Arabidopsis thaliana: one gene and its partners. The protein of the gene in region 2 interacts with the protein of the main gene of each other region in a pairwise test. Each region holds a gene or a part of one and is shown on either strand. Other genes may lie near its edges. The genes, in order: ANNAT1, AT4G26410, NTMC2T2.1 and ARD3.

Evidence for each region.
Region 1: the proteins of AT4G26410 (region 2) and ANNAT1 interact in a two-hybrid assay, tested with the Arabidopsis thaliana proteins (one large-scale study listed by BioGRID).
Region 3: the proteins of AT4G26410 (region 2) and NTMC2T2.1 interact in a two-hybrid assay, tested with the Arabidopsis thaliana proteins (one large-scale study listed by BioGRID).
Region 4: the proteins of AT4G26410 (region 2) and ARD3 interact in a two-hybrid assay, tested with the Arabidopsis thaliana proteins (one large-scale study listed by BioGRID).

What each region holds. Positions count from the first base shown.
Region 1 is NC_003070.9:13,222,184-13,229,427, reverse strand, and holds ANNAT1 (annexin 1), read right to left. Parts: upstream 4,261-7,244; 5' UTR 4,125-4,260; coding exon 4,049-4,124; intron 3,453-4,048; coding exon 3,307-3,452; intron 3,221-3,306; coding exon 2,489-3,220; 3' UTR 2,189-2,488; downstream 1-2,188. Other genes in the region: PUM9 (pumilio 9), read left to right, coding at 1-644, 1,122-1,284, 1,435-1,598, 1,677-1,926, 2,000-2,104; AT1G35710 (kinase family with leucine-rich repeat domain-containing protein), read right to left, coding at 5,042-5,328, 5,413-7,244.
Region 2 is NC_003075.7:13,342,871-13,350,321, forward strand, and holds AT4G26410 (chromosome-associated kinesin), read left to right. Parts: upstream 1-3,783; 5' UTR 3,784-3,889; coding exon 3,890-4,132; intron 4,133-4,624; coding exon 4,625-4,691; intron 4,692-4,907; coding exon 4,908-4,985; intron 4,986-5,117; coding exon 5,118-5,170; intron 5,171-5,282; coding exon 5,283-5,419; intron 5,420-5,506; coding exon 5,507-5,571; intron 5,572-5,686; coding exon 5,687-5,745; intron 5,746-5,831; coding exon 5,832-5,921; 3' UTR 5,922-6,267; downstream 6,268-7,451. Other genes in the region: AT4G26390 (Pyruvate kinase family protein), read left to right, coding at 187-648, 736-1,548; AT4G26400 (RING/U-box superfamily protein), read right to left, coding at 2,083-3,153; AT4G26415 (uncharacterized protein), read right to left, coding at 6,268-6,757, 7,149-7,451.
Region 3 is NC_003070.9:1,621,719-1,630,938, forward strand, and holds NTMC2T2.1 (Calcium-dependent lipid-binding (CaLB domain) family protein), read left to right. Parts: upstream 1-3,200; 5' UTR 3,201-3,379; coding exon 3,380-3,484; intron 3,485-3,566; coding exon 3,567-3,671; intron 3,672-3,772; exon of another isoform or gene 3,773-3,808; coding exon 3,809-3,859; intron 3,860-3,979; coding exon 3,980-4,100; intron 4,101-4,512; coding exon 4,513-4,634; intron 4,635-4,791; coding exon 4,792-4,893; intron 4,894-5,123; coding exon 5,124-5,198; intron 5,199-5,610; coding exon 5,611-5,690; intron 5,691-5,885; coding exon 5,886-6,036; intron 6,037-6,109; coding exon 6,110-6,340; intron 6,341-6,441; coding exon 6,442-6,720; intron 6,721-6,810; coding exon 6,811-6,924; intron 6,925-7,075; coding exon 7,076-7,222; 3' UTR 7,223-7,571; downstream 7,572-9,220. Other genes in the region: chr31 (chromatin remodeling 31), read right to left, coding at 1-1,477; AT1G05510 (naphthalene 1,2-dioxygenase subunit alpha (DUF1264)), read left to right, coding at 7,809-7,954, 8,298-8,701, 8,797-8,972. UniProt on the Arabidopsis thaliana protein: May be involved in membrane trafficking.
Region 4 is NC_003071.7:11,230,144-11,236,755, reverse strand, and holds ARD3 (acireductone dioxygenase 3), read left to right. Parts: upstream 1-3,394; 5' UTR 3,395-3,436; coding exon 3,437-3,499; intron 3,500-3,587; coding exon 3,588-3,699; intron 3,700-3,778; coding exon 3,779-3,873; intron 3,874-4,014; coding exon 4,015-4,129; intron 4,130-4,216; coding exon 4,217-4,341; intron 4,342-4,445; coding exon 4,446-4,634; coding exon of another isoform or gene 4,635-4,698; 3' UTR 4,699-4,986; downstream 4,987-6,612. Other genes in the region: Iqd4 (IQ-domain 4), read left to right, coding at 37-105, 221-637, 740-964, 1,156-1,278, 1,356-2,105; AT2G26390 (Serine protease inhibitor (SERPIN) family protein), read left to right, coding at 6,265-6,612. UniProt on the Arabidopsis thaliana protein: Catalyzes 2 different reactions between oxygen and the acireductone 1,2-dihydroxy-3-keto-5-methylthiopentene (DHK-MTPene) depending upon the metal bound in the active site.

The DNA of each region.
Region 1 (7,244 bases), on a different chromosome or scaffold from region 2:
GAGATGAGATTACTTGGCCGTCAAGATTCCTTTAACCTAAACGGATTTGAAGAGATGTTAGCTCTTAAGAATCACAGAGATTTTCTCTTAGATCAGATCCATGAACCCATAAAGCGTCCTCCTTTTCTCAGAGGCAACGATGCTCTCATAAGTTCGTTGATGTTTGAAGGAAATAATAGGGTTTCTCAAACCCTAGCCGCCATGGAAGCTTCTAGAGGTTTTTATCCAGAGGAGGATAGTTCTCTGCTGAGTCCATTTCACGAGAAGGTTTCTGGAAAGCTTGGAGCTTCTTATCTAGAAGATACAGTACTAATCGGTCAAGGCTCTTATGGGAAGATGAGTCCAAAAAGCAATAATGATCTCGTCTCCATGGTTGAGATTTATGGATCTGTGAACTTAATGGCGAAAGATCAGATTGGTTGCAGAGTTTTGCAGAAACTGGTCGAAGAAGGAACATTTCATGAAGCTAAGGTTATATTACTTGCAATCATTGACCATGTCGTTGAACTTTCCATGGATCCTTTTGGGAATTACATTGTTCAGAAGCTGTTTGATGTGAGTGATGAGGAACAGAGGACGTTGATTGTGAGTGTGTTAACGTCAAATCCAAGGGAGCTTATCAGAATCTGTCTTAACACTTATGGGTAAGCTTCACCTTTTTTTTTATCAACTTTTAGTAAATTTGATTCATTAGTTTAGTCAACAAGTCCACGAGCTCAATAGAGATGGAGACATTTCAGCTTTTGAGGATTAAGATGAGATCTTTCTTGTTTTTTTGGGGAAGATGAAATCTTTTCTGTTTATGGAAATATTTGAAATCTCTGCATTAGTTTTGTAGCCATCACTATCAGTCTATCACTAAAAGAATGCAACATTTGGTAGAAAAGAATGAATTTTTATTTTTACTTTTTGCTGTTTTTGGACAAACCAAAACTGCTTGCTTCAGGAAGAGAGAAAAAAAAAGCTGAGACCTTTGGGCAAAACCCTCTAAATCCGCTTACTTCTGATTACAAAAGGCTGAGAACTTTTGGCCAAAAGCATAGAAATTTGCTGGTTTTGATTTGTGGATAATATGTTTTTGAATTCTGATTTGTGGATAATGTGTTTTTGAATTTAAACAGGACAAGGGTTGTGCAGAAGATGATTGAAACTGTGAAAACAAAACAGCAGATTGCATTGGTGAAGTCAGGTCTCAAACCGGGGTTTCTTGCTCTTGTCAAAGATCTGAATGGGAACCATGTGATACAGAGTTGCTTGCAAACCCTTGGCCCTAATGACAATGAGGTTACATCTTTTGTTTCATACTCAAGCTTTCGTGAATGTTGTGAAATTTGGTGTTAGTTTGAGTTGGAAGCAGCTACAAAGTAATGTGCTGAGACTGTTGTTTTTGTTTCTTACTTAAGATCTGATTAATGTTGTGAATTTTGGTGTCAGTTTGTGTTAGAAGCTGCTACTAAGTACTGTGCTGAGATTGCTATTCATCGACACGGATGCTGTGTTCTTCAATGCTGCATTTCAAACTCTGTTGGACTGCAACGTGAAAGACTCGTCGCTGAGATATCAAGAAACTCGCTTCACCTTTCTCAGGATCCTTTTGGGTAAATTTAGTCTCCACTTAGACTTAAAGATTTGGTATAGTTTGAAAAACTCTCCTTATAGTTAATGAAATTTGGCAGGAACTATGTGGTGCAGTACTTAATAGATCAACAAGTTTCTGCAGTGAAGTTGCTGGTTCAGTTTAGAATGCACTACGCCGAGTTAGCTACTCAGAAGTTTAGTAGCCACGTGATTGAGAAGTGTCTAAGGAAGTATCCAGAGAGTCGAGCTGAGATCGTCCGTGAGCTCCTCTGTGTTCCAAACTTTGAATATCTTCTGCAAGATCCTTATGCGAACTATGTGATCCAAACTGCTCTCTCTGTAACCAAAGTAAGTCCAAATCAATACATATGTTATAAGCTTTTAGAAACAGAACTTGACATGGCTTTTGGGGTTGATGCAGGGACCTGTTCGTGCTAAATTGGTGGCGAAGGTTTACAGGTACGGGAAACTACACTCGAGCCCTTACTGCAAGAAGATTTTCTCCAAGACCATCTTGAAGAAGTGACTTTGATTAGTAACTAAAAAATGTTGTTGTTGTTATTTTGTGTTTCAAGATCGGATAGGGCTTTAGAGAAAACAATGCCCTTAACTTTTTTGTTGTTGGTCTCCCTTTTTGTAGTGACAACAACTTTTGTCAAAACCAGAACTACTTGTTAGTCTGTGTTTTAGGCCAATGCTCTTCATATATATATAACTTAAGAGACCACACTGGTTCTCTCTGTCTCTCTCTTTTGCATTATTTAGGAACTCAAAACACACAACAGAAACAAACAAGGTTTTTGTAGAAACAAAATCAAACGATTTGAAACTCATCAAAGAGAGAGAGAGGGAGATAAGAGATAACAGAAGCTGTAGAGCAGCTTATGTTTCTCTGTGGAGGATTGATTGATTAAGCATCATCTTCACCGAGAAGTGCGACGAGCATCTTCTCGTAATCTCCACGAGTGTCTTTGGTAATAGCTTTCTCCAAAGGAATGCTGTTCCTGCGCTGGTACTCCTCTCCAATGACCTTCAAGTCAATCTCAGCTCTTGTGGTCACAATTCTAGTGAGTGCTCCTTCATCAGTTCCAGTTTTGTTGATTGCTGAACGAAGAACATCGACAAAGTAAAGCTCTGGTCTTGTCAAGCACTGAATGGTTGACCTCAAAAGTGCAAGGAACTTGTCATCATCATCTCCTTCCTCAAGACTCTTGAGAATTTCCTCGCCATGATCATCTTGGTAACGGTTAAAAGTAGCATTGATCTGAGCTTTGCTTCTTGTGGACAAGATTCTAATAACATCCTCATCATTGTAGTGCTTGTCCTTGATTTTCTCATGGACCAGCTTAGCTTCTTGCTTAGCCAATGTCATGTTCACTTCATCTCCTTCGTACCTGTATGAGGTAACAAGAGAAACCAAAAGCTTTCTGAAGTCACCGGTAGTGTGGTGAGCAACGTCCTCTTCAAGAGACTTCTTGTAGCGAGCATGGTAAGCTTGCCTAGCGTGAAGCAGCTGCGTTGATGTCCTTGTGCAAGCAACTTCCATAAGAACTTGGTTGCTTGAAGTCCATCTTTTTGTAGCTTCATTAGCCAATAAAGCATCACGCTCACCGGGTTCAAGAGTCCACAACAAGATAGCTCTCTGTCCATGACCAAAAAACCAATTAGAATACAATGACTTCACACAAGATGTTTAAAAGTCGATACTTAAAAGTCCGAAAACCGAACCTCGAAATCGTTAGAGAGCTCCTTGTCAAGAGTCTTGAGAAGGTCTTCGCCGTAGGTTTCGTGGTATGCTTGCCTGATGACTTTCCTCTGTTCAGCACTTCTGTGAGCCAAGATTGATATGATCAAGTCCTCGTTCGTACCCCATCCTGCGAAAAACACGAATCAGATTCACTTTACATAACCATCAAAGTCACATACTTCAGATCCAAGTCACACACACTTCAGATCCATAATAACAGAACCGGTCAAACAGATTCACAAAATATAAATCTTAAGATCTTAGTGTTGTATTACACGTAACTACATTATAGATCTAGACTAAGAAGACAGATCTGTGACAGTGAGAATCAAAACACAACTCAATCAAGATCTCGTGTGAATGTAATCATTGTCATTATCAACATGATCAGACAATCAAAACTTCATCACTAACACAAAAGATTGTTATAGATCACACAAAGAAAGGAGATCATTGTCACTGATCCGATCCATGAAGGAACAATCTCGATCTACATCATCGTACAAATGATCATAAAACGCTACCGACACAACATTCATATCATCGGACCAAAACAAAGATCGATCCACATGAAAAACAATCAAAACAAATGATCATACAATAACCCACCAAACGAAAACCAACAGATTCACATCACTTTTACAAAAAGTGGATACTGATCATGTAAACAAGAAGGTAACAAAAACAGAGAACGTAACAAGAAGAATCATGAAACTATTATACCTTCAAAAGCGGTTCTCAATTGCTCAGCATCATCAGAAGGAGCAGGAACAGAATCAGAAACCTTAAGAGTCGCCATTTTTCTTCTACTTTTAGTGTTTTGTGTATGTTGGGAGTCGAAGCCGACACAAGATTGACTTATAAAGGGAAAGGCTAAGAGGTTTAGGACACGACGTGGCCTGTCCGTATATACCAAAAATATCCCAAACGAATTATTAATTCTTCTGCCACGTGTTTCTTACACTTTATGAATTATTTAGCATTTGCTTAACTTTATGCACAAATCATGATTTCATAAAAAACTATCGTAATCTCGCATTAACGGTTTCATTGGTTGTCACAAAATCATCCGCAAGATTATAAGTGTTTAGATTTCGTTATTATAATCCATTTTGTATTATTTTAACACGTTACAGAGTACAAGAGTGTAAGATTTTTTTATTATCACTTGCAAACGTGATGTCCATTAGAACTCATTATACAAAAAAAAACTTATTTCTTTCTTTACAAATCTCCTACTATGCATTTTTTTTTTTAATCTCCTACTATGCATAAGAAATCTCTTACTAATTCTGGCGATATACAGATAGACAGTATCCAAAACTTTATTTGAATGTTCATATGTGAGGAGTAACACAATGACCATTATCTAAAAATGCTTTTAACAGTTTTTTTTTTTTTTTTTTTTTTTTCATTTTTTTAACTTCATAGATTTCCATTAACCAAACACATTACAAGACCAAAAGGCCTAACATGGCACGCAAGCCGCAAAGATAAAAACAAACAAGGCCCAAAGACCAACAAGGGCGCAGCCCAATACATACAAAAGCTGAAGCAGGCCGAGAAGCCCAAACAACAACAACAAAAGCTGAAACGAGAGTCGACACCCCTTCCTGCAAACACAAGCAAGAACAGAGAACAAAAGCCAACAGAGATTACTGTTGCTGTATAGATAAACACAATGATAACATAGAAATTGATGGAGAAGTTCAGTTTCTAAGAAAATGTAGTGGAGATTGACAACATCGTTGGCCGAGATTCTGGATTTGCTTGTAAACACAATAAAGCCATTTCCACCATCTTCAAGAGCTTCTCTCTATTTTGTCCCCGTGGTTCTAATACACGTTCATCGGAAATGCTTCTTAGCGACAGAGCTTCTCCTGGAGACGAAGACAAACTCGATACCAAATCTCCCGGATGTTTCCCAATTATCAATTCGAGTATCAAAACCCCGAAGCTATACACATCGCATTTCTCCGTCACCTTCATCGTGTAAGCAAACTCTGTTGCGAAAAATCAAGTTCAATTTCGAATTTAGTGATTTAAATTTCATAAGCTCAAAATCAGATTTAGGGATTTAGATTTACCTGGTGCAACGTAGCCGTAGGTTCCAGCAACGGCGGACCAGTTTGATGAATCCGTCTTTAGAAGTTTTGCTGTACCAAAATCGGAGATCTTAGCTGTGTAATCGTTATCGAGAAGGATGTTTCCGCTGCTAATATCACGGTGAACGATCGGTGTTATTCGGTCATGGTGCATATACGATAAAGCGTGAGCCACACCTTTCACGACGTTGATCCTTTTGGTCCAAGTGAGTCGCTTAGCTTCTTCGTCGTTGGCTAAGAGTTTGTTTAAACTTCCTTTTTCCATGTACTCGTAGATCAGAAATGTGTGGCGGCGGTGGGAGCAGAAGCCGAAGAGCTTCACAACGTTGCGGTGACGGATCTCTGTTAATGCTTTTACCTCGTTTAGGAACTCTTGCTTCACAACTGGCTTTGATATCTCTTCGTCTATTGTGTCATGTAGTCGTTTAACGGCTATGATTGTATCTTGGAGGTTTGCTCTGTAGACTTTGCTGTATCCTCCGGTTCCGATGAGGTGTGTTGGATCGAATTCGTTTGTTGATTCGATGATATCTTGGTATTTGAATTTGCCATCAACGCTGAATATGGACATATTCTCTCCTGTTTCAGGATCTGTGTTTCTTCCATTTTGTAGTTTTCGTTTCCGAATGCAGTAGGTGAATGTGTTTGCACATATAGAGAGAATGACGAGTACTCCTAGGATTGGCACTAATATCCACACAACAAGGTTGCCATTTTTCTTCGGTTTCTTCAACTCACGGCATGGTTTCAATCTTTGTTTAGGAATATTACTGCATAAGCCTATGTTTTCCTCCAATGCATCTGCTGTTGCTTTTCGAAACGTTGGAGTATCTGGAAGCGGACCTTCGAGTTTATTGTTTGATATATCGACGTTCGTCAGCGCTATCATGCCCTCGAAAGTTGTTGGAATGAGACCTGAGAGATTGTTGTGTGAGAGGTCGAGCTTGTCGAGGCTTTGCAGGGAGCTTAGTTGTGATGGGATTTCTCCGTCGAGCTGGTTGTGGCTGAGATCAAGTTGCGTTAACTGAGTCAGCTTTGATAGTCGGGGAATGCTTCCGTCGAATTTGTTTCTGCTCAGGTTCATGTCATGAAGCTTTAAAAAGGAGTCAAAGGTTTGTGGGATCTCTGAGCTGAAATTGTTTGAGGATAAGTCAAGAGACTCAAGATTGGTTAAGAAACTTAAACCTGCAGGAACTCTTCCAGATAACTGATTCCCATTAAGTCGTAGCCTCGACAAATTCGTGAGATTTCCAATTGCTTCTGGAAGTTCACCAAAGAGGTTGTTGGTAGATAGATCCAGCTCAACTAGTTGTGTCATGTTCCAAATCTCTGTTGGGATAGCACCCGTGATGTTGTTGTTTGACATGATCAAGGCACCTAGCTTTGGACTCTTCTCCCAGTTGCTAGAAATCTCACCGTGGAATTTGTTGTGGCTGAAATCAATGAAGTTAAGGTCTGGGTAAATCCCAAAAGCTTCAAAAATATCGCCAGTGAATTTGTTTCCTAGAAATCTTGCTCTGATCAGGCTCTTGCAATCTCTCAAGCTTTTCGGGATAGGACCTTCGAGGTGATTGTAATCCAATGAGATATTTTGAAGCTTCCTACCTTTGCAAACAGTTTCAGGAAAGAAACCAGTGAAGTTGTTGGTGTCAAGTATCAAGGTAGTTAGATGTGAAGAGTTTGCTACTCCTGGCGGGATCGCACCAGAGAGGTGGTTAACACGAAGGTACAAACTTTCCAGCTTGGTAAAGTTACCAAAGGAATCAGGAACAGAACCTGTAAGTTTGTTCTGACTTAAATCTAAATTGATCATG
Region 2 (7,451 bases):
CTTGGCTTTCTGGTAATGAAAGTTAATAAAAATGTGGAATGTATAATGTGGCTTAAAGTTAGCTGAGACACTCTTCTTAGTGGTCTTATTGCTAATAATCTCATGAACGTGATAGATTTATATGTTTTGGGGGACCCTTTTGGTTTCTGAATAATTATGGGAATGATTTTTGTATTTGTCTGGCAGGGACCAGAGATTCGAACCGGGTTCTTAAAGGATGGGAAACCTATCCAGCTCAAACAAGGCCAAGAAATCACCATTTCAACTGACTATGACTTGAAGGGTGATGAGAAAACTATTTGCATGAGCTACAAGAAGTTGGCGCAAGATGTGAATCCAGGCATGGTCATACTCTGTGCCGATGGTACCATCTCGTTAAAGGTCCTTTCTTGTGACAAAGAAAAGGGCACTGTCCGTTGTCGTTGTGAGAACACTTCAATGCTTGGTGAAAGAAAGAACGTTAATCTCCCTGGTGTTGTGGTTGATCTCCCAACTCTAACTGAAAAAGACAAGCAAGACATTCTTGAATGGGGAGTTCCCAATCAAATCGACATGATTGCTCTGTCTTTTGTCAGAAAAGGTTCGGACTTGGTACAAGTTAGGAAGCTACTTGGAAAACATGCTAAAACCATACTTCTCATGTCAAAGGTACATATATACATACATCACTCAAACTAATATAAATCACATATCCATACTCAGATTCTTATGATATGTTACTTTTGATATTGTCAGGTTGAAAACCAAGAAGGTGTAGCGAATTTTGATGATATCTTGATAAACTCGGATGCGTTTATGATCGCAAGAGGTGACCTTGGAATGGAGATTCCAATTGAGAAGATATTCTTAGCTCAGAAAGTGATGATCTACAAGTGCAATTTCATGGGGAAGCCAGTGGTTACAGCGACTCAGATGCTTGAGTCTATGATCAAATCCCCACGACCAACAAGAGCAGAAGCTACTGATGTTGCAAATGCTGTCCTCGATGGCACAGACTGTGTCATGCTTAGTGGTGAAACCGCAGCTGGAGCATACCCAGAGCTTGCTGTTCGTACAATGGCCAAGATATGTGTGGAAGCAGAGAGCACACTTGACTATGGAGACATCTTCAAGAGGATAATGCTTCACGCTGCGGTCCCTATGAGCCCGATGGAGTCACTTGCTTCATCTGCGGTCAGAACCGCTACTTCCTCAAGAGCCACTCTTATGATGGTCTTGACCAGAGGAGGCAGCACGGCGAGGCTGGTGGCTAAGTATAGACCAGGGATACCCATTTTGTCCGTGGTGGTTCCTGAAATCACGTCTGACTCTTTTGATTGGGCGTGTAGCAACGAGGCACCGGCAAGACACAGTCTCATCTACCGTGGTTTAGTCCCGGTGCTGTATGCTGGATCGGCTAGAGCCTCGATCGACGAGTCAACAGAAGAAACTCTCGAGTTCGCGTCAGAGTATGGTAAAAAGAAGCAACTCTGCAAGACCGGAGACTCTGTTGTGGCTCTCTTCCGTACAGGTAACGCTATTGTTATCAAGATCTTGACCGTCAAGTGATCCCATTTGCGTTTGAGTTTTGCCGGTGTTTCTTAGCGTTTTGGATGTTTATTCATCATGGTGACTAATCTTGAGATGAAACTCAAAGTCTCTTTTGTTTCTTTTTTTGTGTGTGGCTCCCACACACTACATAATGTTCTTGGATCATACTCTGGTTACAAGTACATTAGTTTGGTACGAGTGCAATTGCATAAACAAAGACTATTTTTTGAATATATTTTACAAAAATGTGTGATCACATTTGGCTCGTGATCACACAACTTTGGGATTCGTATTTGGAGATAATGCGATTCATGCAGTCAACAACCATACTCACAGTCACATGCCTCTCCCTCTCAACATAAATACCTGTGTTCATCTTTTTATATTTTACTAAATTAAAAGGGATACTTTTAACGGAAACCCAAATGATCATCAGATATTATAATACAAATAAAGAAAAGATTCCATTCCTCGAAAGTGTTTATTTGTTATGCAGTATTCAACAATCTGAGTGAACAAGATTTTATGTACTATAAGCTGAGGAATAGCAGTTTACGAGTTCTCACCGAGATGAGATGACCCCGAGGCCGATGCGGATGACGAAGAGGATGAAGAGAATAATCCGCTGAACGGCCATGGAAAAGAGAACCTTCTCTCGCTCACATTACTGTTCCTTGCATCATCTTCCACATTCTCATTACTTACGTTGATCTCTAGAGTTCTTGTTCTCGGTCTTACAGGATTAACCTTGGTCTCATCATCAGGAGGGAGTTCATATCGGCACACGGGACATGAACTGTGAAGCTCGAGCCACGGTACTATACACCGGATGTGAAACTTGTGCTTACACGGCATCTCTTTAGCTTCACTTCCTTTGTCAAAATCATCCAAACAAATCGAGCACTGCAATGATTCACTTATCTTAACCGTTGGGAGATTATCCACAACTTCTTTACGTGCTGGAAGACTCCCGTGCCTGATTGAATCATTATCAGCTAGATGTTCAAGCAAATGGTCTAAACTGGATCCAACAAAGTAATCTCCAATTGCAGAAAGAGAAGTATTGTTCCGGTTTTGATTCAAACTCGTTGAACCCTGAACAACAGCTGATTGATTTAACAGGTCTCGATCCGAGCTCTCATACTCAGAAGCAATCCCTGCACGAATACCCTGAAGCAACTGCAATATAGTAGCTGAGCTTCTCCGTCTCCTCCTAAGGATAGACTCAAACTCTCTGTCTAAATCAATCTCTCTACCTTGTTGCCTGTGGCGATGACGACGATGATGATGTCGATCAATATCGACGCTGTCATTTCCATCAACATCATCAGATACATTGACCTCATCATTATCCACACCAAACTCTGTCCTCCTAAACCTTCTACGTCTACGAGGATTACTCATCATTCCAAGCAAGATTGGACCCCATAGAGACAATGCACGGTCTGTACCAAAATCAATCTCAGGGTCTTGAACCTCCCTTAGACTGCTACTGCTGCCGCCATTAATCTCACGGCTCATTTCCTCGACAAACCCGCTTTGGCAAAAGGGGCATTTGATCTCGGCACCAATAACTGGATTCACCATTTGTGAACACATGTGACACCAATACCTAGCTGACATTGCCTCTTCCTCCTTCTTTCCTTCCCCACCCAAACCTCTCGTTTCTGAAACAACCAGAAGAACAACAAAAAAAAAAACATGAAGAAGCAAACCTATAAAGTTTCGACCTTTGTTTCATCAGATCTAAATAAAGAGAATGGTATTCCCAAAAGTTTCACTAAAAAGAGGATAATATCATCTTCACCAACATCATTAGCTCAAGTTTCAGACAACAAAACGCAAGCTTTCTATGCAAATGCGAATAAACAGATCAACCAAAATTTGCCTCTATAAAGAGATAACAATAGAAATCAGGGCTAATCCATGAAAAGAAAACTCTCAATTCTCATGGAGTAATTAAAACAAAACAAATACAAAAACAAACCTTGTAAATGTTCTTACTTTTGGAGATCCAGAGGGAAGAAATGTCTTCCTCCTTCTTTTAGATCTCCACGAAGATAAATGAGAGCTTTTTTATTTGTCTTCTTCTGCAGAAATGGTGGGAGACGAAGAAAAGAGGAATGAAGGAGGAAAGGAAGACGAAGATGAAGACGAAGAAAAGGGAATGTAATGTATAGTTCGCAGACCCAATCTTAAAGCCCATTAACCGCAAACTGATATATAAAGGAGCCGGGTCTATCTTAACCATTTAAAACCAACTTCTAATTTGGAATCAAATTGAACCGAATCGAACCGGTTGAAGTTGAAAGAAGGAGAAAAGGCGTTGTCTCCGTGCGAGAAAGGCAAATCGGAGACGATGAGCGAAACCGAAGCAACCGGCGTTACCGATGATTCGGCTCCAGCGATTGAGACTGAAACTGTTTCTGATGCGATGGAGCATACAGCGATCGGAGTGGTTGAATCGGTGGAAGGAGCCATAGAAGGAGCAGAGAAATGGGTGGGTGATTTGCAACGGACGGTGAAGGAATCGAAGGATACCGCAATGCGTTCTGCTCGTTCCCTCCGTGAAAATTCTACCTCTCAGTTCCGCTCTATACAGGTTAGTTAATCTCTCTTTTGTTCACCAAACAATTTTTGCGAATCGAGATTGTTTACCAAAAAACATTTTCAGGATTTCAAACCATGGATATGGTGGAATTTAGTATCTCGTAAGCTATAATTTCTAGAAATGAGCTCGATTCAGAACAGATATTTCTCCAATTAGCAGTTTTATGTATTGAATGGTGCTAGTTTTTGTTCATATGGGTAAAATCTTGTTGAATCATACCATTATAACTTATTGGCAATGATCTTAGTCTCTTCCTGGGTTCTGATTCTGCTTCAAATGGTTGTTTAGAAGACTGTAATGTATCGCTGAGGCATTCTTGATTATTCTCTAAACAATGTTTTTATATGATATCAGATATTCATGTAGCTTAATGATGTGTGATATGGAGTAGACCCTATCTGGCTGAAATCACAGTTCCATTAGATGTATGTATATGTCTTCGTCTTCTCTCATACAATCTTACATTTGATTCTGAAATTGCAGGATTTCATTCCACATGCTTTGACTCAGTATAAGACCTATGAGAATGCTTTCTTCAGTAAAGTTACAGGTATCTTGCAGCCAATTTTCGTGAAAAAGTTATACTGGTAGACTACTGTAATGCTTAGGAACGAGTATTTTAGATCAAACTGAGATATAACAGATAGCTGCCACAAAACTTTTATATATACTTGTAGTGCATCTTATAGTGTTCTGAAACTAGAATCTTCATGTCATTCCGATTAATCAATCCTCGTATCCTCTGCTGCTTTTGTTATCCTCGCAGACGAATTGATATACGCAAAAGAGCATCCGGCTGCTGCTATTGGGATTGGTGTCGCTGCTAGTCTCGTTCTGATGCGAGGTATAACCTCTACTCTCTTATCACTTTTACAACTTACAAGATTCCTTCCCGTAGGAGCATCCAAATGGTATTACATCTGTTTTACTTATATGTGTCTTGTATGAATTTGGTTTTCTATTGTTCGACTTACAGGCCCAAGAAGATTCTTGTTTCGTAATACACTAGGCCGATTTCAGAGCGAAGAGGTATATACTATACCAGCTTCAAATTTATTTCTTAACGTTGTTATGCTTAGTTGCCCTGGTCTGTGTCCCTTCCCTTATTTTTACATCCACTTCAAAATCATCGTCGCTTCAGGCACAATTCTTGAAAGCTGAGAAGCATGTTCAGGAGTTAAACATGTCTGTAGACTTGATGAAAAAGGAGAGCAGGAAATTGCTTGAGAGGACGGCTTTAGCAGAGAAGGATATGAAACGTGGTCTCTCTGAGCTCATGTATGCCCCAACATGGACGCTCCCACTTCTTTTATTAAGTTATTGACATCATTTATGTTAATATGGGTACTACTGTTATATCTATAGGAACTCTGGAAACGATATACATCGTCTTGCTAAGTCCGTCCACAAAGCTGAATGTGAAGCTGCTGGTAATCTTGAACAAGATTTATTTTTACTCACTTCTCCCTTCTCCCTTCAAATGGTATCTTTGATAATGCCACTACGTCAGATTTCAACTTACACAAAGAGTTCTATTCGCTGCAGATTTGATGGACGGACTTCGGCAAATTCCTGGAAGGGATGCTATCAAGCTTAGAGCTGAAGTGAGTCTGACTTTTTTCTTCTCGCCCATTGTTTGAGCTTCATTGCTATGAACGTCTCATTAAATTCTTTTGTCGTAAATCATTAGGTGGCTTCCATGACTTCGCTTTTGAGACAGAAGAGGATTGCATTGAACAAAAGGATCATGGGTATGTCGGACCTAGGAGTTTCCGTCTGATATATCCAACACAAATCCACAATTTCTTGGGTTTTCGCAACCAAAGTTTGTTAGGTATTTTCCAATTGAATCGCAGTGTACTCTCGTCCATCGAACATCCAACTCTGTCTGAAACCAAAATCTGAGCTTGAGACAGAACTTGTATACTGTGTTTTTGCCTGCTTCCTAAGATTTCTCGCTCAGAGAGAATTAATTGAGTCACAAAAATGTGTGTGCTTGGTTTGGAAATCCTTAATTATGTAGTCTAGAAGATTTATGAGAAACATAGAAAGTTACTGAATCAATCAGTAATGAAAATTTATAGATAACATGAAGGTTTTTAATGGGCTAGTTTTGCATCGTAAGTCTATGGGAGACGGGCTGTGGGCCATCCACCCATGCGACTAGGCGACCCAACTGCTCCGATTGGTCTAGTAATGTTAAACCCTCCAGACGAGCAAGAAGCTTCAGTCGTCGGACCGGTCCGACCATTAACGTCCAGAGTCCGTTCTCTCCTCCTTAGACGCTCCCTCTTGAGCAGAGTCCCTAACTTATCTTTTCCCGATTTTCCCTTGTCCGGAACAGGTATCATCTCCAGACCCATCAGCTTTGCAACAACCCCCGTCTTGCACCATACCACACTCTCTCCGGCCACTGTCCGTGGCAGGCGTTTTGTCTCCAAGCTCATCTGGCTCGATCTCTTTGATGTCCGTTGATCCCCGCAGTGGGATCTCCGCCCACCCTGTATCGTCATGTCAGCACTGGTGCCAAGATGGCGCCGGAAGGATGACCGGTACATAGCGTCCTTACCGTCCAGTGAGAAACGTGGGTACTGATTCAACGCGTTCCTTGCTGACCTTAACGGCAGACAAACAGAAGTTGATATTAGTATTGATCATAGTATCATACACAATAAAATTATTTCTGTTTCTTCCGGTAATTCCTTAAATATCACTACAGATTTCACCAGTATACGAAATCTAGAAAATTCAAAAAAAAAAAAAAAAAAAAACACTTTAAAATGTAGTCATATAACTTGTTTCGTACATTCAAATCTACACCGGTGAATATCATATTATCAATCATGAAACCAACGTTATTTCTCCTCTTGAATACGTTATATTCATTATTCAATATTCATCTTAATTACTAACGTGGCATGTCAAAAAAAGTTAACTATATGTAAGAGCTCATGAGTCCCTAATGAGAATATTTACTTAAGTACATATAAAAATAAGCATGACGCACCTCAAAATATCGGAACTGTTAACGCATGACATCCGGGCGGGCTGATGATATAACTTATCATCATCAACATCATTATGGTCATCACAATTATCGTAAGTACCGTAGTAAGATTCACGGAGTCTCGCTCTTCGAACAATATCTTCTTCAACCTCTAGCTGAAGTATCATCTCCTCTAGAGTTCTCGGAGATCCTCCACCGAAAGGAGTGTTTTCAGGTGTAACAGAAGGCCCCACATCGTTCTTTTGATGTTGGTTTAGTGTCAAAGTTGAGCCATCACCACCACAAGAGCTAGCAAAGCCGCTA
Region 3 (9,220 bases), on a different chromosome or scaffold from region 2:
CAGGTCTTGATGGCTCTTCAGGTACTTGTACATCTATCGCTTTCTCTGTAGTGAAAATTTCAGGTCTGGATATGGATGGCTTCTCAGGTGTGTTCAATTCTTTTCCTGTCTCTGGATTCTCCACTTCAGGTCTGGATGGAGCTCCAGTTGTTTTCCCAGAGTTGATGGAAACAGAATCTTCATACTTTGATACATTAGTAGAAGCAAAGTTGTTCACATCCTCAATTTCATCTCTTATTGAATGTGGTCTAATGAAAGAGCTGTGTGATTCAGGGTTTCCTGTGTTCTCTTTGCCACAGTGAGCACAAGTGTACACAACATTGCTCGGCTGCTTTGTTACTACTCTTACAACTTCTCTTTGTCGTTCTTTTTTTTCTTCTTCTCGGTGGTTTAGTTTCTGAATCTTGTTGTCTCTTTCTCTAGGCTTGGTTAAGCTAGAACCAGACCTCTTATACCTTACCAAAGCCTTCCTTTCCACTAAAGAAACTCTCTTGATTGGTGAACTGGCCTTTCTCAAGTCATCATCATCTCTATTATCTCCAACTACCTCCTTTACATATGATTCATCGTCACTCGAGGAGGAAGAGGAAGATGAAGACGACGATGATGACGATGATGATGATGAAGATGGATCCTCAGAAGACAAAGACTCCACCGTTACATTATCTTTGGTGTTATTATCTTCACTATCTTGATTTTCTTCTTCCTCTTCATCGGTTTCACTTGAGCTATCTTCACCATCACTGATAGACTCTACAATTCTGCTACTTTCTTCAAATAGCTTCTTCTTGGCTGAAGCTCTTCTTCTAGCTTCAGTTTCAGACTCAGAATCTGAAAGAATCTCTATTTCGCCAGGGACTGATTTTTCCAAAACCAAACCTCTAATCTCAGGGGAACACTTGTCCTTCAAAAATCTGATTTCTTCTGACACATCTTTTAACACAGAAGAGCTCGGAACTGATATTACAAGATCCAAATCAGCAATCTCAGGAGAACTCTTCTGCATCAGACATGTGTTCTTCTGTTCAGACACATCCTTTAACTTAGAAAATCTCGGAACAGGTATCCCAACATCCAAATCTGTAATCTCAGGGGAACATTTCTTCTCCACGCCCAAATCACTAACCCTAAAAGACCTCTCTTTCAGACATGGGTTCTGCTCAGACCCATCTGTTAACCTAGAGGAGCTGGGACCTGATTTCTTCTCCACATTCAGATCTCTCATTATCCTAGAAAAACTCTCTTTTACAGAGTTGTTAGGTACAGAGTACATGTTACTGACTTGAGGAGGAGGAACACTGTCGTTGCAAGTTGGTGTGATGTCCTCAATGTCGGAGTCATAGTTTTTAGGTTTCTTCTGCCGTCGTTTCTTTGGGGGAGATGTCACCGGAGCTACAGTCTCCATCTTCTTCCGCTTGTTAACAGCCTGAAGACGCTGCCAGCTCCGGGACTTCACTCTCTTCCCAATACACTCCATTAAAGCAAACACAAAGATCTGAAAAAAGAAAGACTGTTAGAAATCTAGAGAAGACGACAATGGGGTCTGTAAAGAAACAGAGAGAGAGAAAGGTAACGAACCTTTAGATGAGAAAAAATCGAATCTTTCACTCACTCACACGGGTCTGAGAAGAAGATGATGAAGTTCTTGAGTTTTTAGAGAAATTTTTGATTTTCACTGGTTTCAGAAAGTGGAACAGAGAGAGATGGGCAGAGAGAGAGAGAGAGAAGGGCATGAAGAAAGCGTGATGGCAAAGCCAAACCATGCTATTTCAGGAGGTCTCTCATACCGCCAAAACGGTACTATTTTTCCACACACTCTGCTTTTTGGTTTTGGTCAAAAAATTTCTTACATTTCGTTAAAAAAACAGCTCATTAATCAGTTTCCATTTCAAGCATTGTTTTTTTCTGTTCTAAATTACCTTTTTGACCACTCTGAAATTACAGAGTCAACACGTCACTCAAAACTGCAGGAAGAGAAGATATTTCATTACAAGACAAACAATGTGTAATAAATTATGTCTTACTGCTTCTAATTTTTTTTTCTGTGTTTTCCTTTTGCTTTTGTTTTGAAATGTAATCTTTTTAGTTTACCAATCTAGATTTGTTATAACAATTTAAATGAAAAAAATCGAATCATTTACTATTTTATAAAAGAATCTCAAACCCTTTCTTTGAATGGGATTGGAGATTGGAGTATTATTGAAATCAACTACCTTCCTCTTGCTGGCATTTAATTCCACTATTAGACCTTTATATTATTTTTAAACTAAAGAATATTGTGTTTGAAAGAAAAGGCAACCAAAAATGATTACTTACAAACATATACAAACAAAGGTTTTTAGAATATAAAGTAGCAAACAACATCATTCCAAGGAGAGAAAACAGAGAAGAATACTTGTCATTAATAGAGAGAGGTATGAGTTCTTCACGCAAAGTCTTTTTGATATTGGAACTTGGTCATTAATTTACATCACCAACAAGTTCTAAATATGATGAAAGAAAATTTATGTACCAACTTCACTTTAAGTGCCCACCTTTTATCTAATCGCAGTAATGAACACATCACGTCCTATGAGGCTTTGACAAATTAGGAAAAAGGCTAAACTGTGTTAGTCAGAAGATAATAACTTACAGAGGGGACCATTATTAATCTCCTAAGTTTATGTTTTTGTGACAAGTTACAAATTCCTCAGAGGATTATTAGAGAAGCAAATATCGAAAACTGTATAACAAAACTAACTTCTTAAGACCGTACCGTCACATAACATCAATGAGCCATTACCATAGCCGAAACCAGTCAGCTACACGAGTACAAGACTTATTATGGTATGTAGTCATCTCATGATTTAAGGGTATAATGAAGTATCAACTGTTAGTCCCCCAAGATCCTAATTGCATATGATCAGAACTCTGGACTCGTTTCTTAAGTGAGGATTTGCAAAGCTCAATCTTTGTCATTGCGATTATGTTCCGGTGACGATGTTCAAAATCTTTCCGGGGATTTAGTTCCATCACTGTCTTTCTTTTCTATTTGTTTTTGTCTTTAACAATGTCAAAGTCAAAATCTCACCGATTCTGTAAATTCCAAGTTATATGACGTGTCATTGTATTATTGGTGCGAGCGATAGCACAACCTTTGCGTCTGCGTCGGTAGCGAACTCTTCGGAAATATATAATCTGTAATTAAAATGAGACTAATCCCAATTTAAAATCAAAAACCTTTTTATTTATTTTTGTTTTCCTATAGAGATTTCTTAGAAAAGAAATAAATTACTTCTCTTTTATTTTTCATTCGGTTTAGCTCGTGGAACTGAATCTGGTGTGTTTGTTGATCAGAGTAATACGGACATTGCAATTTTTCTAAATCCGGCGATTAAATATGGGTTTCATAGTCGGCGTTGTAATCGGACTCCTCGTCGGAATCGCAATCATCATCGGCTTTGTCAAGTTGGAGAATTCTCGATCCAAGCTTCGCTCTGAACTTGTGAGACCCCACTCTCCCTTTTTCGGATTGAAAATTTCGATTTTTTTTCTTCTTAATCGGGATTTTGTTTCTGTTTTATAAGGCGAATACGGTGGCTGCTTTTGCGAGGATGACGGTGGAGGATTCCAGGAAGCTTTTGCCTCCTGAGTTTTATCCTTCCTGGGTTGTCTTCTCCGAGCGTCAGAAGTTGAGTTACAACATTACTTACATATTGATGTGTTTTCATCTCTCTCTTTCTGCGTATTGGAAGAACACGAAAGTTTTAGAATTTGGTCATACTTGGGACTGATTCTTGTTGTTGCTTTGGCTTTTTATTTACTTCAGTTGACTTGGCTCAACCATCACTTGACAAAGATCTGGCCTTATGTTGATGAGGTATGTTTCTATTGTCTAATTCGTTCAAGTAGAGATATGTTATTTGTATTATGGATAAAGATATTGTTTCTTAAAGGAGTTTTTTTTTTTGTCCTCTTTTGATTCGATTTGGAGTTTTAGGCAGCCTCTGAGCTTATAAAGGCATCCGTGGAGCCTGTTCTTGAGCAATATAGACCTGCCATTGTGGCCTCCTTAACATTTTCTAAGCTTACTCTCGGTACAGTGGCACCTCAATTTACAGGTTAGTTTTGTTCATTTCTCTTTTTAAGTGTAAAACTTTGTGTTGTAAGGTACCAGAACTTGTGCAATTGAGTCATGTTGAATTGTTGGTGGAATCCTTTTGATTGTGAACTTTTCTTGAGCTTGAGCTTAGACTAAGAATGTTCTTACTTTTACGTGTCTCCACATTGTAACCTACTATTCTGTGATAGTCATCGAATTCCTGTCAAAAGGAAAATATTCAATTGAATAACAACTGAGGAGTGAATTATCAATTCGACTGGGAAATAATCAGGCAATGGCAGCAGTATCCTTCTTTACACTTCTTCGGATTGTGTGTTTAAAGTTTGCAAAAAGACGAACCATAATCTTAAACGAAATTGTATTGTTGCTTTAGAATTTATGTTTTGCTTGTGCTCCTTGGTATTCGTTAGGTGTTTCCGTTATCGACGGTGATAAAAATGGGATTACCTTGGAACTTGATATGCAATGGGATGGAAACCCAAATATAGTACTTGGCGTCAAGACCTTAGTTGGTGTATCCCTCCCCATTCAGGTATATGATTTGATTTCCCTCGATTGCTTACTTTGACTTTATATTATTTGTCAATTCTTCTGTCTTGCAGAACTTGTGAAGGAAATATTGATATTCTAACCTTTTTTTGATCAATGATAAGCTGATTACAACTGATTTCTTATTCTTTGTTTTCTAGGTGAAAAACATCGGATTCACTGGTGTTTTCAGGCTAATTTTTAGGCCACTAGTTGAGGACTTTCCCTGCTTTGGAGCTGTCAGCGTTTCTCTTAGAGAAAAGGTTAGTGCCCTCTGCAACTTTTGAAGCTGTAGCTAAAATTGGCTAAGATAGTTCATAAGTTTTTTGTACTTTTACTTAATCGTGTTGCATCCTTCTGCTTGCATACCTGAGCATGCATGTATGTGTGCTAGATTGGTTTCATTGAAGAAAGCTGTGGTGACACAAAATATTCGGGTGTAGTGATCAATTTTGTATGATGTTTAGCTTATACATTCAATTCTGTGTTGCAGAAAAAATTGGACTTCACCCTTAAGGTTGTTGGAGGTGATATTTCAGCAATTCCTGGACTTTCTGAAGCTATTGAGGTTTGGCATACTATTTAGTTTCTTGATACCAAATATTTATGTCATTCTAGAGTCTTAGAGAAAGGAAATATCAAAGTGGTTACAAGTCTTTATTTAGCTATGAAGTACATGTGGTCGAGAATCAACAGGGTGTTCTGGTTATTGCATTTTCCTATTAAGCATCTTTTCTTGTTTACAATGATAGGTGGAATCATATGTGTTTATCTTAGAACTTGCTAGACAGGTTGGCAATTTGAGTAGACAGCTTAAGTTCTACACATGAAACCTTGTTCATATGCTATTTTTGTAAAATCACAGTATACATTCCTAGTTTTCTTACCCAACGCTCCATATGATGCAAGGTTGTAATCTCTTAGATGGTCCTTTATGCCCTGGTGCATATGACACTTACCAGTAAGTTGATATGTCTCAGGAAACAATTCGGGATGCCGTGGAAGATTCTATCACATGGCCTGTTCGGAAGGTCATCCCAATTATACCTGGTGATTATAGGTACACCTCAGATTAAATAGATGAAGTTGAACTGTTGACGTTCTTCAGTGGAGGATATGCTCAACTTTTTTTTCTTTTCGTTTTGACTTTCTTACTATTGTGTTATAGCACTTTCGAATAGTCAATGCAAATGATGGTGCTTGTCTTTCTGGTTTTGGACTTTTATTTTAGATTTTTTTGTGTTTCTATTCCCAGCGATCTGGAGCTAAAGCCTGTTGGAATGTTAGAGGTGAAGCTTGTGCAAGCAAAGAACTTGACCAACAAAGATCTAGTTGGAAAATCAGACCCCTTTGCTAAAATGTTTATACGCCCTTTGCGTGAAAAGACTAAAAGAAGCAAGACAATTGTAAGTAGTCCATCTAATCCTCTTTTTGTGCTAAACCTACCAGAATGATCTGATTTATATTTATTCTCATCAGAACAATGACCTGAATCCCATCTGGAATGAGCATTTTGAATTTGTTGTGGAAGACGCGTCAACTCAACATTTAGTGGTCAGAATATATGATGACGAGGGTGTACAAGCATCTGAGCTTATTGGTTGTGCCCAAATCCGGCTTTGTGAACTTGAACCTGGTAAAGTGAAAGACGTCTGGTTGAAGCTGGTCAAAGATTTGGAGATCCAGAGAGATACTAAGAACCGTGGAGAGGTTAGATCGGCTATAAATTTCCCCTAATTAAATAAACCCTGTGATTTTGTATCTGTACATGGCTAATGAATGGACGTTATTGTTGATTCTCTGTAATTTAGGTTCACCTTGAGCTCCTTTACATCCCTTATGGTTCGGGAAACGGCATTGTAAATCCCTTTGTCACTTCATCGATGACGTCCTTAGAGAGGGTGCTCAAGAATGATACAACAGATGAAGAAAATGCATCAAGCCGTAAAAGAAAAGATGTCATTGTAAGAGGAGTTCTCTCTGTGACAGTGATATCTGCAGAAGAGATACCAATACAAGATCTGATGGGGAAAGCTGATCCATATGTTGTTCTCTCGATGAAGAAATCAGGTGCCAAGAGCAAAACTCGGGTAAGTCCTCTCATTTAAAGCATCAAAGAGTTATCCATGTTATAGATGTTTCATCCTCCTCATTAACTAATGGCAATTTTGCTTCACCAGGTCGTCAATGACAGCTTGAACCCGGTATGGAACCAGACTTTTGATTTTGTAGTTGAAGACGGGTTACATGATATGCTAGTCCTTGAAGTCTGGGACCACGACACCTTTGGAAAGGTAAAACCAAACCGCAACAACACTGTTATTTGATGGTTATTATTCTGCGTCATTGCACCAAATGGATGTTTTTCTCGTTTGGTTTATTATTTATTGTGTTGGCATTGGGCATTGGAAAAATGAAACATTGTGGCTTTACTTTTGTGGACAGGACTACATTGGGAGATGTATCCTCACGTTGACAAGGGTTATAATGGAAGAGGAGTACAAAGACTGGTACCCATTAGACGAATCCAAAACGGGCAAGCTTCAGCTGCATCTGAAGTGGATGGCTCAATCAATTTATCGTGATTCCTAAGCTTAATCGGTAGAATCAATTTATCGTGATTCCTAAGCTTAATCGGAAGATTCACAACTTCGAATGTACATGTTGTCTAGTAGCGTCAAACGGATGTGTTTTGTCAAACAAAGACGAGTCTGCATGTAGCCCAGAAGCTGTGGACTCGGAATATGAGTTTTCCTCTTTTTTTCTGAAAACCCTAGACAATACTCGTGTACGTTTGCCTCATAAGCTCAGATGTCATAAGGGGTTTGATCTTTGCGTGCATCACAATCCTTCAATAATTTTTTACCTTTTACCCTAAAATCTCGTCTACACGTATCACCATATTTGTCTTCACCAAGTTTGTTTCACTATCATAATCAGCGATCTCTTGACACATATTGACTAGTCCTTGTTGCTTATTATCCTCAAGTGAAGCCAAATAAGCCACGCACACTCGGTGACACCTTCAATGTTTGCCATGTGTCATAGTCCATGCAAATGCCCACTTCATTTTATTAAGACGAGAGCTATACAAACACCGTCTCTTCTTATTCACTTGCTGCTAGTTATAAGAATCAGACAGAAGTTGCAGAGAAAAGAGAATTAATTGATTGGTGTAATGGAGAAGGCAGTTCATTTATCCACCAAAAATGGACCCAAGGTTCCAGGAGAGCCAACGAAGACCGGAACCTCCATGGTTGACACGGCAGCTTCAGCCGTACAAAGCTTCGCTCCGATTAACCAAATCCACCAACATCTCTGCGCGTACGCTTCTGAAATTGTTAATCTTCTCTTTTCATTTTATCTTTAAACAAGAAATAAAGAAGAGGATCGGAAGAATGAGGGATAATCATAACAGTATAAAACCTACACCACATTTTTTCGTTTAATAGATCTGTCAAATTCTTGTAGTTTAGATTTAAAAAACATTGTATTGATATCTTACGTAAATCAAGTTAATCAAATTTTCTTGAATTTTTAATCGATGTGAACACGTGTGGAGTTGTGTACATGCATGCAGAATGAAACTTAACTATTTCATATGAGTTTGTTTGCATCAGTAAAAAGATGAACTATATATATCCTCTCCTTTTTGCGCTTGTCATAGGTTTCATTTCTATGCATATGACATGACCCGACAAGTGGAGGCACACCATTTCTGTGGTCACATCAACGAAGACATGCGCCAGTGTCTGATCTACGACGGTCCTGATGCCAACGCTCGTCTGATCGGTCTGGAGTACATTGTGACAGAGAAGCTCTTTATGACATTGCCTGACGATGAGAAGAAGCTTTGGCACACTCACGAGTGGGAAGTTAAAGGAGGCTTCTTGTTCATGCCCGGTGTTCCCGAAGCTATTCAACGGCAAGATCTCGAAAAAGTCGCCAAGACTTATGGGAAAGTTTACCATTTCTGGCAAGTCGATTTGGGGCATCAGCTTCCCATTGGCTTGCCTAATATCATGATGGCTGTTACTCGAGACGGACAACTTTATCCGGAAATGATCAAGGGTACGTAGATTTGTCATTTATAGGTTATGCTTAGTCAAATATGCTTTTATGAAAGTTAACATGAACATTTTGAAATGTTCAATGGGTGACCGCAGAGACGGAAAAGCAATTTGGAGTATCGATAGACAAGGAGCGAGAGTCAAGGGCTTATATGAAGGGTCCAGACCATGGGATCCATCCCTTGGCAAATGGAGGAGGCAAAGGCCTGAAGTTGGAGTTGCGAGAGGTTGACATAAAGCCGGTTGAGTCCGTTCCAAGAGTCTTCGTTTAAGTTATACTTAAATAGACAACTTAAGAAGAATAAATAAATAAGCGATCGAGCTTTTCTTTTGTATAGCCCTCCTCGAATCATGTGTATAAGATGTAAAATACACTTGAAGTAGTATATTATGGTGTCGTCTAGTGGTTTTAAATATTACGTCTTCATGACTCCAGTTCATTATCTTTTATGACCCTGCGGGTAATCGTTATTATAACCTTAGAGAAAAGATGATAATACTATGACCAAATGGAAACTAC
Region 4 (6,612 bases), on a different chromosome or scaffold from region 2:
TTCAATGAAAGATTTGTCTGAAAATTTCAGGAGAAAATGGGTAAGAACTGGTTAACATGTGTCTCCGTGGCTTGTTTATCTCCAGGGAAAGACAAAAAGAATCAAGTTGGTGTTTCGAATCTGTTCTCTAATTATTGATTATGATTATGTAACCTGATTATGAAATCAAGATTGCTAATTGTTTTGATTTTGGTCTTTTGGTTTTGCCTTGTTTATCAAGAAACCCGAGAAACCGAAGAGGAAATGGTCGTTTGGGAAACAAAAGAGTAGAGAATCTTTTGATTTCCCTCTGGAGGAGACTCCACCGGTTGACCCTTCACCTTCTTCTGTTCATCGTCCATATCCACCGCCTCCCCCGTTGCCGGATTTTGCTCCTCAGCCGTTGTTACCACCACCGTCTCCACCTCCTCCTCCTCCGGCATATACCATCAATACAAGAATCTATGGTGAGTCTAAAGAATCAAAGAATAGACAAGCTTTAGCTCTTGCATCGGCTGTTGCAGCCGAAGCAGCTGTGGTAGCTGCACATGCTGCCGCGGAGGTTATACGTCTCACGACCCCATCAACACCTCAAATTGAGGAATCAAAGGAGGAAACTGCCGCAATCAAGATCCAAAATGCGTATAGATGTTACACGGTATACAAAAAAATCACTTTTTTTTTTTTGGACAAAATACAAAAAAAATCACTAATTCCTCTTATTATGAAAGACTTAGTCTAATATTTTGAAATTTCATAGGCGAGACGCACTCTTCGTGCGCTGCGAGGAATGGCTAGACTCAAAAGTTTGCTGCAAGGAAAATACGTCAAAAGACAAATGAATGCGATGCTTAGCTCAATGCAAACTCTTACACGTTTACAAACACAGATTCAAGAGAGGAGGAATCGGTTATCTGCAGAGAACAAAACTCGTCACAGGCTGATCCAACAGAAGGGTCACCAGAAAGAAAACCATCAGAATTTGGTAAATCTCGTTACATTTTTTGTTGAATGAATGTAAAATTTATTCAACCATGTTTACAATATATGCAACCGTTCATCTAAAAATATGACAAAATTTAAAAAGAGTCATCCCATTGTTATGTGGTAAAATCTCCCTACATTTTACCACACTGGGTGAACCAAAATTCTGAACTGGAGCATATTTTGTTGTAGGTTACCGCGGGAAATTTTGATTCCAGCAATAAATCAAAGGAACAGATCGTGGCAAGGTCGGTGAATCGAAAAGAAGCTTCAGTAAGACGAGAAAGGGCATTGGCGTATGCTTACAGTCATCAGGTAAATATAAATTAAAGACAACATCATTGTGAACTTAGTCATAGTTGTTTATATATTGATGTTGGAAAATAAAACAGCAAACATGGAGAAACTCTTCAAAACTTCCACATCAGACTTTGATGGACACAAACACAACAGATTGGGGTTGGAGTTGGCTTGAGAGGTGGATGGCTTCTCGTCCGTGGGATGCTGAATCCATTGACGATCAAGTTTCCGTTAAAAGTTCTCTTAAACGCGAAAACTCGATCAAGAGTTCTCCTGCCAGATCTAAAACACAAAAGTCAGCTAGCCAAAGTTCTATTCAATGGCCTGTAAACAATGATACAAAGAGTAGAAAGATCGAGGTTACTAATCGCAGGCACAGTATCGGTGGTGGATCATCTGAAAACGCTAAAGATGATGAAAGCGTTGGTAGCTCATCCTCGCGCAGAAATTCGTTGGATAATACACAAACTGTGAAATCCAAGGTTAGTGTGGAAACAACAAGCAACGTGAGTAATGCACAAACTGTGAAACCCAAGGCTAATGTGGGAGCAAAAAGAAACTTGGATAACACGAAAACTTTGAAATCCAAGTCTAGTGTGGGAACAACAGGAAACTTGGCCAACACGGAAGCTGTGAAATCTAAGGTTAATGTCGGAACAACAAGTATGCCAAAGAAGGAGGTTGTTGCTGATAAGAAGAAACCTCCACAGATGGTATTGCCAAAGAAGAGGCTTTCATCTTCTACTTCTCTTGGGAAAACAAAGAAATTGTCGGATTCGGATAAAGCAACAACTGGTGTTGCAAATGGAGAGAAGAAGAGAAGAAATGGTGGTAGCAGTTAACCTAAAGTAATAGCCTTATCTAGACCAAGATATTGCTTTGGTGGCGGTTTGATAGATTTAGCATCTCAAATGTGAGATTTGTTTTCTATCAACGCAAATAGAAAAGAGAAAGAAAAAACAAAAAAACAAAGAGTGTATTTTGAAGACCTTATTTTGATTGTTTTCTTTGGGTGAGTACAAATGATGTATGTCTGTTTCGGTTTGGTGTTTATCTGGTGGATTATTTGTTTACATTTTTTAAAAATTTAAACCATTTATTTCGCGTTAATGTTTGAAAATAGTCGTTGAAATCGATTCAAAATGACATATGCAATGGTTACAAAAAGTAAACGAGAGTCTACGTGAACTGGAGCTGGTTTGTGACAAAGTTTGTTATCAATTTAAGAGTTTGTTAAAACCAAAAAAAAAAAACAAGACATTGTATCGGGATTGTAAAAATTTGGATTGTGGAGCTCTCAATGAATATGTACAATTGAGTCTATTGCTGGATTACGTTCTGGCCGAGACATATCAATCAATCAGACAGGTTGCTATGAATTAGTAAACTTCATGTAGTGGATCATTCTTCCTCTTTCTCTGTAATTTGTCCGTAATAACATCATCAAACTCAAGTTTCTCAAAGTTAATTTTAATTCAATTAATAACTTCGAATATCACACATATATGATTCATGCCGTTAATATTTTTCTTAGCATGGTCTTACTGAAAATAAAATTTAAATATTACTATGAAAAATTATATAAATCACAAAACTAGTTTGGTTTTCTTTTGTGTAGAAAAGATTATCGGAAATAATTTCATGTTTATTTATTTATTTTTACATCAAAATTTTAAAATAGAAACACAATTTTCCATTAAAAAAATTCATAAGATTCCAATGAGCTTCCAAAGTAATTTTTTTGGAAGCCTATATAGTCTTAGATTTTGATAATATTTATGAAAAAAAAGCTAATTCTGAAGTACACTGAAACAAATAACAAATACATGACGCTTCCATTTTTATTTTTTTCTAACATGAAGCTTCCTTACACGTAGAAAGTTAAGTACATCGAAACAAATACCAAAGACCTGAGAAAGTGGATAGAAGTCTTATTATTAAGAACAATAATTGATAAGAACAAAGCATCTTATTATTTAACAAATGCAAATAGAGTAAATAGAAGTCGTGAGACTTCGTGACGTCATCACTTCTTCGTCATCTCCTTGACACTTCGTGACGTCCTTGTCTTCTCGATAAAGGTGCCTAAGAAATGGAAAGAGTGGTTTTGTGTTCTTACTTTACATTTTTGCACACAGAAAAATGCTAGCGGTTTCCTTTTTTATCTATATAAATGGTTTCTTTCTTTCTTCATTTTGAACACAAAAGAAGAATAACCATGGGTGAAGCCGCTAAGGTAATATAAACTCTTCCTTCTTGATTTAGGATCTATTCCCATTTACTTTAGAAGTGTTTTTGCTTAGCATCAGATTGATGTTTTCTAGGATCAAACTGAAGAAGTGATTCAAGCTTGGTACTTGGATAATAAGGAAGAGGATCAGAAACTTCCTCACCACAAGGATCCTAAGGAATTTGTATCTTTGGACAAACTTGCAGGTCTGTGTGTATCTTCATTGTTGCACATACTTTTATTCTTTCACGTAGGTTAATAATGTTTTTTTTTTTTTTTGTTCAGAGCTTGGAGTACTTTGCTGGAGACTTGATGCTGATAACTATGAAACCGATGAGGAATTGAAAAGGATCCGCGAATCTCGTGGTTACTCCTACATGGTTTGTGACATTTATTTGATGCCTTTTTTTAATATCTTCCTTTGTTTGGTCTTTTTTTTTAACAAAAAATAAATCTTCGTTTGTTAGTTGATTATTAAATATTCGTTTTTGATTCGCAAACATTTGGATGTTTGGTTTTAGGACTTATGTGAGGTGTGTCCAGAGAAGCTTCCAAACTATGAAGAAAAAGTAAAGATGTTTTTTGAAGAACATTTACATATTGATGAAGAGATCCGTTACTGCCTCGCAGGAAGTGGTAGGTACTTTTATTCGCTGCTTTAGTACTTAAATAAATTCGATATGGTGCTCATTTATTTTATTTTTTCTTAAAAACAAATCAAAGGATACTTTGATGTGAGGGATCTCAATGATATTTGGATTAGAGTATGGGTAAAGAAGGGAGGTTTGATAGTCTTCCCTGCTGGAATATATCATCGCTTCACCGTGGACTCGGACAACTATATGAAGGTTCAATCTTAGCTTCTTCTAGTTATTAATTCATACTATATGAAGGTTCAAGTAATATATTTTTGGTTGCTTAGAAAATTGGAATTTTCTTATATATTGAACAGGCAATGCGTCTTTTCGTGGGTGGACCAGTGTGGACTGCTTATAATCGCCCACATGACCATCTTCCTGCAAGGTACAATGATGTCTTGTTCTCCCATATTGTCACGACAAAGCTTACTAGATCTGTAGTTATATATCTAAGCAAAGAGGCGACAAAAGTGTTTATGTATATTCAAACGGCTATTTTATAGGAAAGCGTATATGAAAAAATTCTTGAAGGTGATTGGGGACCGTAACATAGACGCTTCAGCGTAAAGAACTCTCGGGGATCAGATTTCTATAAGCTAAACATATGTTTAGATGTTGTCTTTAATTATGCTTTATTATGTTTACAACATGGAAACCGAAGACATTTTGGTTCATGTGTCTTTTGGCATTATTGTTGTGATTGTAATGTAAAGAAGAAGGAAAATGACAATATATGAAAGCAAGAAAATATATAAAACTATCGGTCACTATTAGTCTCAACCTACTGGTGTCTATGCATAATACATGATATACATCCGTTACTGTAAATAAATAAAATGATTATTTGAATTGAACACATTACTTATGGAGTATCCATAATCTCATGTTTTTAGAATTTGTACCCAATGATAAATAAAATCAAACAAAAGAATTTCTAGTCTTTTGTTATATTCTTGCCTCTTGGTGACTAAGAAATCGATACATTTAACTAAAAAAAAAAAAGATAAAAAAGAAGAAGAAGAAATCGATACATGTACACATCAAGTATATGTCTTGTTATTTTCCAGTTCATGTTTACTCCCTCTGTTCCTAAAAAAATAATGTTTTGGGTTTTTCACACAAATTAAAAAATGTAACTTTAATATTATTTTTATTACTTTTCTATTAATCTAATAATATAAATTTTACTTCTCTTTTCTCTCTATTGGTTACTAATAAAAATAATAATAATATTAACCTACAACATCAAACTTGATGAAACAAAAATAAAACTCAAAACATCAAACTTTATAGAACAGAGGGAGTATAAGATTTGGCTGCTTCAGACATTCATCTCAACCTTTTTCTCTTTCTTTTCTTTTCTTTTCACATGCACGTTAGTATATATTGTGGTGTAAAGTGTAAACTTTCGCTAGGAAATCACGTTCTCTAGCAATGATTTGGTTTTAAAAACATTGTTTTCCCCCTCTAATAAGATTATTACTCTGTTTTTTTATTTTGTTTCTCTTTGATATAAGAGTCGGAATCCACCAATCCAATTGACAGACGGTTCCAAAATATACATGTAGGAGACACCAAAGCAAGAAAGATTTATGTTCAAATGAGCTAATTAACATAGAAATATATTTTAAACTGAAAAAGATAGCTCATTGGAGTTTTATTTAAGTGCTAGAAAGTAAAGAAAAAGGAAATTTACTTTAGAGAATAGCCAAGCTATGATAGATTCCTAGATTGAGATATAAAATGATGAAAAAGAGAGTTGTTCCAAATGGCAACTCCCAGAGTTATAAAATCGATTTGGAACAATTGGTTTATGCATATGCCTTATGGGTAAAAGGATGAAAAAGAGAGTTGTTCCAAGTAAATTGACCCATAAGGCATAAATTAACCAAACTTCAAGACCTAGTTTATAGTTAATGCCAAGTACTTCCAACGAAGTCCATGATACGACTTTTCCACACGCGGTACTTTATTACTTCTAAATCATTTCGATTGAATAATTCATGTGCAGAAAATATATTTAAAACAAAAAATAGCTACTAGTATACTTGAAACAAGCTATTTCATCAATCATCACATCTGCATATTCAGAACCATTCTTATATCTTCCCGTACACCTCTTCTTGGAAAAAAATGGAGTTAGGAAAATCAATTGAGAACCAAAACAACGTCGTGGCAAGACTAGCAAAGAAAGTCATTGAAACAGATGTCGCCAATGGCTCCAATGTTGTCTTTTCACCGATGTCAATCAACGTTTTGCTCAGCCTCATCGCCGCTGGTTCTAATCCCGTCACCAAAGAAGAAATCCTCTCATTCCTCATGTCACCGTCTACGGATCACCTTAACGCGGTCTTGGCCAAGATCGCGGACGGCGGCACCGAGAGAAGTGATTTGTGCTTATCTACGGCTCACGGTGTCTGGATCGACAAGTCTTCTTATTTGAAGCCTTCCTTTAAAGAGCTTTTGGAGAATTCCTACAAG